3 linked regions of the Coturnix japonica genome follow. The protein of the gene in region 1 interacts with the protein of each later gene in a pairwise test. Links are inferred from orthologs where the notes say so. Each region holds a gene or a part of one and is shown in the gene's direction. Other genes may lie near its edges.

What was found. The genes of interacting proteins can lie anywhere in the genome.
Region 2: the proteins of SHTN1 (region 1) and NME7 interact in binary tests that used the Homo sapiens proteins (3 or more experiments, as listed by UniProt). The two-hybrid records come from large-scale screens. The link is inferred for Coturnix japonica from reciprocal best matches to the Homo sapiens genes SHTN1 and NME7.
Region 3: the proteins of SHTN1 (region 1) and FABP3 interact in binary tests that used the Homo sapiens proteins (3 or more experiments, as listed by UniProt). The two-hybrid records come from large-scale screens. The link is inferred for Coturnix japonica from reciprocal best matches to the Homo sapiens genes SHTN1 and FABP3.

What each region holds. Positions count from the first base shown.
Region 1 is NC_029521.1:25,856,729-25,860,702, reverse strand, and holds the start of SHTN1 (shootin-1), read left to right. Parts: upstream 1-1,163; 5' UTR 1,164-1,306; coding exon 1,307-1,364; intron 1,365-3,974. UniProt on the Homo sapiens protein: Involved in the generation of internal asymmetric signals required for neuronal polarization and neurite outgrowth.
Region 2 is NC_029516.1:74,973,360-74,976,874, forward strand, and holds part of NME7 (nucleoside diphosphate kinase 7), read left to right. Parts: intron 1-64; coding exon 65-172; intron 173-2,856; coding exon 2,857-3,023; intron 3,024-3,515. UniProt on the Homo sapiens protein: Possesses an intrinsic kinase activity. Displays 3'-5' exonuclease activity with a preference for single-stranded DNA. Does not seem to have nucleoside diphosphate kinase activity.
Region 3 is NC_029538.1:624,169-628,410, reverse strand, and holds the start of FABP3 (fatty acid-binding protein, heart), read left to right. Parts: upstream 1-1,429; 5' UTR 1,430-1,514; coding exon 1,515-1,587; intron 1,588-2,149; coding exon 2,150-2,322; intron 2,323-4,113; coding exon 4,114-4,215; intron 4,216-4,242. UniProt on the Homo sapiens protein: FABPs are thought to play a role in the intracellular transport of long-chain fatty acids and their acyl-CoA esters.

The sequences.
Region 1 (3,974 bases):
TGGTGTGCTATGGGCACTTGCCAAGGAAGGAGATGGAAAAGCTTTGCCTTTGCCAGTGCTTAAAGAATGAATCTGAAGACTGCTGCGGTTCAATGGACCGCTACTGTGAGCAGCTCCAGTGTGACTGACAGGAGGTTTTTAAAAGTGAGCTCAACTTCAGATTTATCCTAGCACTGTCCATTATGAATCACGAGACTCACAGCATTTGGTTAGTTAGCAACAAAGACAGCAATTTTATTTCAAACTTTTCACTTTTTAAAGTTTCTAAAGTTCAGCAAAAAAATAAATAAATAAATAAATAAATAGGGTAGAAACAAACTCTGCAGTGACTGTGTGCATTCAGGGCCAGGATCCAGAGGAGCTTGGTAGGGTCACTGCTTTAGCACAGGGATAGAATCAGAGAGAGAGCTCTGGTCTGCTGTGATAGGACAACAGGAAATGGTTTCAAACTGAGAGAGGGGAGATTTAGACTGGATATAAGGAAGAAGAGACTGGATGTAAGGAAGAAGTTTATTACAATAAGGCCAGTGAAGCACTGGCACAAGTTGCCCAGAAAGGTGGTGGATGCCCCATCCCTGGAGACACCCATCAGGCTGGATGGGGCTCTTAGCACCTGATGGAGCTGTAGGTGTCCCCATTCATTGCAAGGAGTTAGACCAGACAGTCAAATGCTTCTGTGATTCTATGCTCATGGCCAGATCCTCTCCTTCCCCCCTCTGGGGTTGCTGGCAAGAACAAATGTGTTCTTCACAGACAAACAGAGCACGACCTCCACCAAAACCTGATATTATCCCAACTTTTAGTCTGCGTTGGACGCTGGAATCACCCCGCAGCTGCTTCAGGAATCTTTGGGAATGCTGCTCTCCGTACAAGCGCTCATTAAAGTCCCCTTTCTCTGCCCAGGAGCTCTTCCCTCCTGTACCAGCCGGGACAAGGCGAACATGACGAGAAGGCAGTTTTCATCTGCTCACAGACCCCTCGCATAGCAGCACACCCAGCACACCCAGCACACCGCCTGCCTCCTTCGCACCCCTCCGGATCCCGCTCCCTCCCCGCCGCCCCGGGGGTCGCTCCGTGCCGTCATTACGGTCCTCACGGCCGCCCCCCATCACGGAGGTGCCCGCTCACAGCCCGGGGCTCGGCTCCGCCGCACCCCGCACATGCTCACTGTGGTGCCGGGGGAGTCTGGGCATGTGCAGAGCGGAGCGGGCCGGGCCGTTCGCCGCGCCCAACGCGCCCCGGGGCTACGAGAACCGCCCGAACCGTGCCAGGTGCGGCCGGGAGAGGTGAGATAGAGCGGGGCAGGATGAACAGCTCGGATGAGGAGAAGCAGCTGGAGCTGCTGGCCGGCGTGAAGGACACAGGTAGGGGCGGGCGGCGGCTCTGGGCGGACCGGCTGTCCCTGCTTCCTTCCCTCGGCTGCTGCGGAGCTCGGAGCGCGGCCGCAGGGAGGGGTTGAAGCGGGGGCTGTGCGGGGCCGGGGCGCGGCCTGCGGCGTGGGGATGGCGGTGCGGCCTGGGCGGCCACGCTCGATTCCAGGCCCCTTTTGGGGGAAAAAAGCCTCGGATACGGGCCTGTCTGCACCTGCCGGATTTGTGTGCTGTCAGGGTGGGCATCGAGTGAGTGATGGCGTGGGGCTGGCACGTGTCTGGGTGCTGCTGCCTCGCGTGTAGTCTGGGTGTCAGTCTGGGCTTCCACGGTGTCGGTCCGTCCTCTCCCCTTTGGAAGTGGAACTGGGCAGGAGTGCTGAGGGATGGAGAAGTGAAAACGTGTCTGTGATGGGCTTCCTGCAGAGAAACTCTGTGTCTGTGGTACCTGTCAGGAGGTGTTAAACCAGCCCATGAAACGTCCTCTGCTCCTCTCCTAATCAGCACATGAACTTCTTGGTGATAGAACCCAGGGCTAGTCCTGATATGCCACGAGTTTCTATGGAGCCTTTGTAGTTCCAATGTAAATGAATGGAGGGCTCGTTGGGTTCCCTGTGTGAGTCACTGCTCAGTGCTTTTGTAGGGAAATTCAGTGCTTTGGCCTTATGAACACTCAGGTTCTAAAATATTGGAACACACTGTGTTGTTGGGAAGAATGGGCAAGGAAAGAAGTTGGATACTCAAAAGGTAGCTGGTATTTTCACTAGTCAGTCTGCTTCCAAACCAGACTGGTCTAGAAAAGTTTCTGTCTTGCCTGGTTAAGCAGGTGGCAGTCATTGGGCTTAGTTATCACTCATCTGAGTCGTGAATGTTTTCTTTTTGGTTGTCCCAGCTGGATTCTGACTTGTAAGGATTACAGTTGTTGTGAAGTGTATCATAGTACATAACTATGAGTTTTAATAGCGCGGGACCAAAAAATAAGGCTAAAAAGCTGTTCCCAGTTGGTTGCTTCCTTCTAGTGCTGTTGGCTTCTGAAGAGTTGTCTGTACCAAAATGATGGCTGCTAAAATGGCAATAGTTATTCTTCAGAAATCCCAACATCTTGAAATTGCTTTGAGTTTTCTCATTGACTTCAATACTGATGTCTGAAAGTCTTCTGCTCGGGTAGACTGAATGTCCTTTAATGTCTGAAGAAACTTTATGGGACTTCATGAGTTAGTTCAAAGGAGGGACGCTGTAACTTGAGTGCCCTAGATCCTCTTAAGCTGTTGAAATAGAAACTAACAGGCAGATCCTGCTGTTCTTGATAGATGTTCCCCAAATGTGGGAGTATTAGTAAGTTGTTGTGGGACTGACAGATGTTTTTCTAATTGTATGGCTGGCTGGGAAGCTGATCTTTATGGGAGAAGAATTATCCTGTGGAAAACTATTTGAAAATATTTACTTTTTGAGATTGCATTGTTTTAGATGGAAACCAGCACGTTATGCTACCATGCTGCAGTTCAATGGTGTTAACTGGCGGGGCTGAAGTGTCCTTAGTAAAGAGCCCAGAGAGGGTTGGAAAGAGGAAGAAAAAAAACCAAGTAATTTTCCTCCTTGCTGCTTCTAGGTATATAGATAAGAATATTACACTGAAAGTAAATGCAGGTGGTGGAATGACCTGCAGTTCCTGAAGGCTTTGAGATTCTGGGTGTATGTACTGTTCAGGAGTCCTGTGTTTATTGCATTCAAAGTGGTATATGGCTTCAGCTTACTGCGGTGTTATGGTCTGTTGTCAGATTTCTGGATTACATGCATTGATTTGAAGGACTTCAAACACGTTCTCTCGGTAGCCTGCACTCAGTGTGTTTTTCCAGTGTTGAGAAACATCCTGGGTGTGATGCCAGGTAGCTGTGCTGGCTGGGTAGGTGAAGAGGGCAGCAGTTGTGTACGTGGCTGATTGCAGTAACGTCCCGGTGCTGCTTTTACTTCCCTTCCCAAGGTCAGCAGATTGCACCTGAGGCAGGTATGGTGGCTGCTGTGCGATTCTCAGTGGCAGCTGTGACACTGACTGGTGTCTGGACAAATTCACTTGGCTGTTTGGCACAGCTCTGCGCAGCGACAAGGACACTGAAACTATCTGTGAGCATGATAGGCTTATCTTTCACCCATGCTGAATTTTCCAGGTCCTGTGGATTAGACCTGGATATTTGACACTGCTTGTTCTTCTTCTTGCTCTGTTGCCAAGTTTAAGGTGAATGTTGTGGAGAAACACGATCTCTGTATCAATGATATTTAAGCCTTACAAGTATTATTTTAATTTTCATTCTGTAAGTAGCTTTCTGAGATGGCTTGATTAGATAAAGCAGGTATGCTGTGAATATTAGCATTACCTAAAAACTCCTTTTTTTACCTATAAGTGGTGTTTTCAGCACCACTTTTTTTACCTGCCTAACAGCTGCATCGCAACCAGCATGGAAGTTTGCCATGTTTGTCTTTGACTTTATTGATGCTGCTGAAACTTTGCTCGTAAAGAAGCACCTTCAGCTGTGTCACGTCTTTGTTCAGCTGAAGACAGCAGTCATCAACCACAACATTGGGAGTTATATATTGTGTAAGTGCTTCACC
Region 2 (3,515 bases), on another chromosome or scaffold:
AAGGAAATGGTACAGTTTATTAAGTGTATGATTACTTCAGTAGCCTTCCCTTTTGTTTTTGCAGAGTCAAGATGACAGATTTGCTTTCACTGCTGAATGGTATGACCCGAATGCTTCACTCTTTCGGCGTTACGAGCTTCTGTATTATCCAAAAGATAGCTCAGTTGAAATGGTAAGAATAAAAAAGTCTGTAATTTTAAATATATTACTCAATTAAGCTATTTATAAAATGGACCACTGCCATTTGTTTTTCCAGGTAATTAAGTTGTAGTTTAAGACATAAGTCTGTTTTTCAAACTAGAAGAAAAACAAATGTGCTAGTTCATAGTGGAGCACATGCAAGAGCTGCCATGTTAACGAGTTTTATCTTAAGCTTGGAGCATTTCATTTTCACAGATCTGTTTTTATTTAATCTTTTCTTGGATTTAAGTATTGGAACTCAGCACCATCAACCTACTGCAGGAACAAATTGAAGGTGATTCCTAACAAGAGTAGGCTTCAGTTAGAATTCTAGAAGCCTCTGAAGCATTAACTGTAAACAACTTCTATCAAAGTGAAGGAAACGGTAAACTAATTTGGTTTTAATGCATGAAAGGATGTTTCTGAGAATGGAATACAAATTTTTCCCCTTATTGGTGCTTGTATGGACCTTTCTGATTTTATGGTACATTTAACTAAGCCTTCTAACAATAAAAAAAAAATGAAGATAAAACAAGCATATAGTACAGATAATCCTGTACAGGTAATCCAACAAAATAGCCAATGCTTTGTGCTCCCCTTTTGAATGAATTAATGATTATTTATTCTTTTACTAGTCTTTTCTAGATTTTAATGAGCATATGAAGGTCTAAGAATAGCCTAAATTTGTGTATTCACATCTATTAATTTCAGTATAGTTCTTAAACTTTCTTGCCTTACACATCAAACACAGAAACAACAGAACTATCAGAATCTACCTTTTCTTACTTTTCTTATCCAAACTATTGCTTACTGAAACCACGGTACCCATCTGTGTGAGGAGATGCACTTTGCACTTTTTACTGATAGTCTCTTTAAACAAACTCCACCATGATGTTGTCCCTTTTAAGTTAGTTATTTGTATGATATGTGTGCACAGTTGTCAAAACGTGAGGATTTTTTTTTCTTAGACACAGTTAAGCTAATCAGTCAGAAGCCGTAATAATCTTCCTACACAGCCATGTGTAGGCTGACAAAATTGTTGTTCATTTCTCCTGGATGTCTCAAAACCAAGAGCTTTCAAGGTGCTTTTGGCTGTCTTAGAGCTTTATGCATCAAACATCTGCAACTTGGTAGGTTCTTATATTTAGTCAGTTGTGTTCTCAGGGTTGAGGTAGTGTGTGTATGCAGTCATGAGTTTGCATGGACTGCGTGTGATCAATATAACTGCTAAAAAAGCAAAAATGCATGTAGAATCTCTGCAGAAGGAATTCTACAAGATCAGTTTGGAGGTGAATTGTAGACAGAAATTACATTTGAGATTATCTTCTGGATTTATTTATGGTTTTGAAAACTTATTTGGAGTTTGGCATTTTTTTTTCTTCTTCATTACTGCAAAATTCTTCTGGATCTTTTGTATCTTCCCGAGGAGATGGCAGCTGCTCACTTTACCTCTAGTACATTGTCAGAGAAGAAAGGTAATGGACGAGAGCCGGCTTCTCTCTGCTTATGAGAGAGCAGTTGCATCACCTTTCTCTCACCTCTGCAGTGATAACTTTCCTTTGTACATGCTTCAGCTGAAAGTGGAATAGAGCTGTTGGACATTGATGTTATGTGAAGTTCTCAACTTCCCATTTCTTTCTTGCTCCTTCCCGTGAAGGAAAAATACAGTGGAAATAATGCAACCAGTTTCCTGCTTGCTTTGCATCCGTTAGAAAGCAGCACAGGTTTTTGTCCAGGGACAGCAAGCAACCATTTGTGATCAGACTGGGTACTTAGACAGAGCCATCTCCAACTATCCAAGTTTTCCATAGTTAATAACTATGATTCAGTTAATAGGACTCTTCTTGAAACTGAAGAGCACTGAGCTGGAGCATGTAGGTGAGAGCTAAGGATGATTTTATTATGGAATCCTGCTTAGAAAGTATCAAATAAAAAAAAAAGTTTAGCCTGAAGAGGACAAAACTTTTCTAAGATTGTTTCTCCAAGAAATTGAAGGGATCTGTAATATTTACTTGTAGCAGGGAAGAAACTGTTTGTGAGGTTGTCTTTTGTGCTTTAGCAATCCACCCAGAAAATCTCACATTAATGTCTTCCTTCTTGCTCAGAATGTCCATACATAGCTGAATCGTCTTGACAGGCTTTTGAGCTTGCAGCTCTAGGCAGTTGAGAACTTCTCAACGTAGTGCTGCAGCCATCCATCCATCCTTAATTCAGAGTTTTAAGCAGTCAAATAAAGCATAATATCACTGGAACAGTGCCCTGAAGAGGAGACCTGCCACAGTGTGTATTATGATCACTACTGCTTCAAACCATTGGCCTGTGAAACAACATGGACTTGCTGGAGGGGGTGGGGGATTCTCATTGAGACTGGGTAGAGATATCCACAAGGGATGTGAAGCATCTATCATAGTTGGAATTAGCACAAGCAAGTAATAAAAACTGTGAAGACAGCCATCACCCTGAGACTATTTAACTGGAACAAATGTGTGGTTTTATCCTCTAAGCATTCCTGGTGCACGTGCAAGTTCACAGGGTTAAGAATTAAATCAATTTAATGATCAGATTAAATCCCACAGAGCTATGGAAATTTCTGAAGGGAAAGTAAGAATTACGTGGAGTTTGCCAACAGCTTAAGATCTCTTGCTGTAGTAGGTTCTAATCTTCTTTTGTCTGCAGTATGATGTGAAGAACCATCGTACCTTTCTGAAGCGCACCAAGTATGAGAGCTTACACCTTGATGATCTGTTTGTGGGCAACAAAATTACTGTGTTTTCCCGTCATCTTTCCTTAGTGGACTATGGGGATCAATATACAGCGCGCAAGCTAGGGGGCCGCAAAGAGAGGTAAGAAAACCTGTTGTTTTTTTAAGTCTTCCTTTGTGACTGGGGTAGTTGTTCTTTGCTGGAAATGAGGTAAGATTCCTGTACCGTGGGAAAAGGAGGAATTAGTCACAAGTCTGCATGAGGTTTGGAGTCATCTGGCATACTGTTAGCTGGAGGGAAACAGTTCCCTGCTTGTGGGCAAACCTACCATTATCCCTCCCACCTGATACATCTTCAAGGCCAGTTTATCTGTGGTGTCGCATGTTGCATCCTCCAGATTTCTCTGAAGAGAAAAGGTAGAGAAGGCAAACATGGGCCCCAGCTCAGCTTTCCTACTCCCTGTAGGGCCAGTAGAAATAGTATTCTTGTGATTTGTGGATTCTCTCAGTGCAGTATTGGTGTTGTAACCTTAATGGGTGCTGGCTAGAATCCTTCAAAATGGTCTTCTCCCTCCCTGCAGTCTGTGCAGAAAGCTAGTACCTTATCAAATGCATCTACCCTGTATTGTCATTA
Region 3 (4,242 bases), on another chromosome or scaffold:
GTTATGTGTGTGGATGTCCCTGTGCATGGGTTCTCCCTGGATGGCTGTCCCTGTGCACATATGTTTGTGTGTGTGTTCACGTGTGTGCACATCCATGTCTCATGGCCCCGCTGCACCAGGGTGATGCTGGGAGCCCCATGGCCATGCACATTTGGGCCTCTGATGCCCAAGGATGGCACTGGGAGGAGCAGAGACAGGTAACCCCTCCAGGCTATTGCCTGTCCCCTCTCTGTGGCACCTGGAGGGTGCATTCAAGGAGCACTGTGCACTCTGGGAGGCAGCTGAGTGACTCCCAGGGCCATGGTTGGATAATAAACTGTGTGTGTTTCCGTGTGACACAGCGCTCCATGCTCTGTCCCCATGGGGGCTGGTGACCGTCCTGCCCAGTTCTGCCACTCGCAGCCCCTCTGAGGCCACGGGGAGGACGCTGAACTTGAGTCCCTGGCTATTTTTAGGTGCCTGCAATGACACCTTGGAGATGGAAAGAGAGACAAAGTGTCCCTGAGTGACACCCAGACATGGTCACTTTGACCCTGCTGCCACCGCTTTGCAGTGCTGGGTGTGGGGACACTCAATGGTTCCCACCCAATCCCCAAATCCAACGGACTGAAATTGGGCAGAAGAAATTGGGGCTGACTCCCACATGCTCTACCCTCACCCCTTCCCATAAATACGCCCCCCAGAAGTGACAGCCACCCCCTGTGTCTGACCCCAGGTTGGGGACACTTTGGCCCACGGGACCCCCAGAGCTGTCACAACGTGGCACAGCTGGCGGAGTTGGGAGGGGTGGGAGGAGGCTCATCCCTGTGCCAGGGCTGTGTGCCCACTGGGGCAGGGGACACCAGATTCCACTGCCACCACAATCCCCTGGCACGCTGCAACCTGAGCCTGAAGGAGGTGGGGATCATGTCCTGGATACCACCAACCCTATGGGAACACGCACCCGTGGGGTGAAAGGGGGGTACAGCACCCATAGGACCCATGAGGCTTCAAGCCTGAACCCAGCAGGGCCAGGAGCCCAGGGCAGCTGTTGGGATGGGGCTGATTTAAGGGGATCCCAAAGGTGTTAAAATGAAATCACCAACGATGGGAGGGATAGGATGGGAGGGACGGGGATGTGGCCGTCTTTGCCCTCAGCACCCCCAGCACACACACACACACACACACTGTCCCTCGTGTCCCCACGGATGCTCCCGTGCCTCAGTTTCGCCCTCTCCATCCACTCCTCGCTATGAGCACACGGTCACCGGCACCTCACATCCTCACCTCCACGCACCCACGCGTGTCCGCGACCGCAACGGAGCTGCGCACAGCGCCCGGGCAGGGGACGGGGGTGGAGGGGGCGGCCGGGGGGCGGCGGTTGGCAGCTCTGCCCGTCCCCGCCGGGGTATTTCTGGAGTCTCTTCCCATCATGTGATGGGGCCGGTATTTAAGGAGCCGCGGGGCCGGGCGGCAGCTGTGGGTTGTGCAGCGCTGCGGGGACAGAAGGACACGGGGATACACGCGGCTTCGCCATGGTGGACGCGTTCGTGGGCACCTGGAAGCTGGTAGATACGGCGAATTTCGATGAGTACATGAAGGCGTTGGGTGAGTGGCGGATCGGGAGGGCGGAAATCCACGGGTTTTATTCCTCCTTTTTCTTTCTTTCTTTTTTTTTAATGGGGAGGGTGGGGATCGTCGGCTGCTGAATGGGTTTAAAAGGGGAAAATCAAAATAGGAAGAATAAAATATAGGAATAAACATAGGAAAACGCAACGCGGTGCTGTGCTGGGGAGGGGCTGCTGGCGGGGTTGGGGGTGGGGGGGATCGGGTGGAATCCCCCCCCTTCCCCCTGCAACCCCGGTGTGTGGGGGAAGGGCTGATAGAAGGGATTCCAGGGGGATGCGTGCCCCCATCTGCTGTCCTGAATCCTCCATCCCTGGGCAGAATGAGACCGCAGCCCCGAAGGGGTCTGGAGGGTGGTGGCCACAGGTGTTTTCCATTCTTGCCCAGCCATAAATGTGCAGGATCAGCCCCTGAGTGATGCCCGGATTCCCCAAAAAATACAACCCCATGGGGATGCAGTGGGTCCCCCCTCCCGAAAAATAACCCAGGAGGGTCTCTGGGGTGATGCATGGGGATGCAGTGTTGACCCCCTGTCTCCCACCAGGGGTGGGCTTTGCCACCAGGCAGATGGCCGGCCTGACCAAACCCACCACCATCATCGAGGTGGATGGTGACAAGGTGACGCTGAAGACCCAGAGCACCTTCAAGAACACAGAGATCAGCTTCAAGCTGAACGAGGAGTTCGATGAGACCACGGCTGATGACAGACATGTCAAGGTGAGGGAGCTGGGGGAATCCTTCCCTCCACCCTTTTCCCTTTGCACCCCTTGCCTCCATTTGCAACTGGGTTTTGCAGAAGGTGATGCTGTAACCAAGTGGCTGTATTGCAAAAGAGATTCGGGGGCCACCACGAGGCTTGTAGAGCACAAAACTCCTTCCTGCCCCATGGGGAAGCAGGCACAGGGCTGGGTGTGGTGTGAGGTTGGGCTGAAACGGGTTGAGTGTGAGCAAGGCAGTAGTGCCAGGCAGACATTGCAGCATACTTCTGTCTTCATCCTCTGCTCCATCTGGTGCCATTCCTCTTGCAGAGGAACCAGAGCAGCAATAGAGCACAGGTCTGGCCCCTGGAAGCTATTTCCATGCACAGCTTTGACTATAACCAGCTTGCCCACTTTGTCTCGTGACAGCTCAGCCCCAAGCGTAGGGCTGCTCTGCTCAGGGTGGTGGAAACTATGCTAAAAGCTCTTTGGCTGCTAGTGTGTGAAGCAGCCAGGGACATGCCCTTCAGGCACCCCTCGGCTGGCTGCCAGAGGGCAAACAATAAAAGGGGGCCCGGCCTGTCAGCCCCCCACACAGTCAAGCTGGGAGATGTGGAGCTGCTGGGCTGTGGGGTGCTCCAAGGTGAGGAGCCACCAAACTGGGGGGGACCCAGGATGTATGGGGTGCAGGGAGAGGAGAACTTGAGCTCTGAAGGGAGCTGAGCTGCAGGGCACCCAAGCCATGGGGACACACAAAGCATTAGGACATCTGTGCTATAGGGACACCAAGTCATTGGGAGACCTGAACCATGAGGGTACCCAAGCTATGGGGACATACAAGTAGTGGGGAGAGCTGAGCTTTGGGGGCATCCAACCATGGGTAACCTAAGCCATGAGATCAATGCAGAGCCCCTACCCATGAGGGAACCAAGTGGGTTGCAGGGACCCACATCAAGGTGAGACCCAAGCCATGGAAACATCCAACTGTGGGGTGACTCAAGCAACGGGGTGACCTGAGGACATGAAGGGAGTCCTAAGCTATGGGGACATCCAACCATTGGGAGATTCAAACTATGAGAAGACCCAAACAATGGAGAATCTTAAGCCATGCAGAGCCCTGACCCATGGAGACACCAAAGCCATGGGCAGGATAGACTCAAGCCATGTCAGGGAGATGCAGTATAACCTGCACAGTGCTGGGGACCTGAGCCATGGGAAGCCCAGCCCTTGGGTGTCTGTGCTCCAGGAGAGCAGCAGTACTGGGTGCACAGGGAGGTTTGCAAGGGACCAGAGGCTGGGACAGCTGGGGGCATGTGGTCCCCTGGGCTGGAGCTGAGAAATGTCACTGGGAGGCAAAGAACTGGGTGCCAAGCAGTGGGAAGATAGCAAAAGAGAGCTGGGCAGCCATTGCCACTTCCCACGCTGGCACAGCCCAGCCTGCTGTCACGCTAACCTTGGCACTGCCCAGGCTCTCAGGGCTGAGTCAACAGCAGCGGCTGTGCAAACAGCAGCCTGGATGAGCAGGGGCTTGTTCAACAGCTCAGCTCAGGATGCAGCTGTGGGGCAGGGAGGGCAGGGTCACCGTGACAGTGGGCCCTGATGCCAACAGGCTCAACTTGGGCTACAATTGTGACACAGCTGGTGTCCTGGGTGAGTAGAGCCAGGTGGGATGCTGGCACCCAGTGATCCTGGAGGCAACCAATGCTGGTCTCCGGACCCAATGGGATGAAAAGGAGCATCCAAAGCTGCAAGGATGGAGCAGCAAAGCTCCAGCCATGAGGGGAACGGTGGTTCTGCTCTCTCTCCACAGTCCTTGGTCAAGCTAGATGGAGGCAAGCTGGTCCACGTGCAGAAGTGGGATGGGAAGGAGACATCGCTAGTGCGGGAGCTGAAGGATGGGAAGTTGATTCTGGTAAGGAAATATAAAGGATTTTAGATG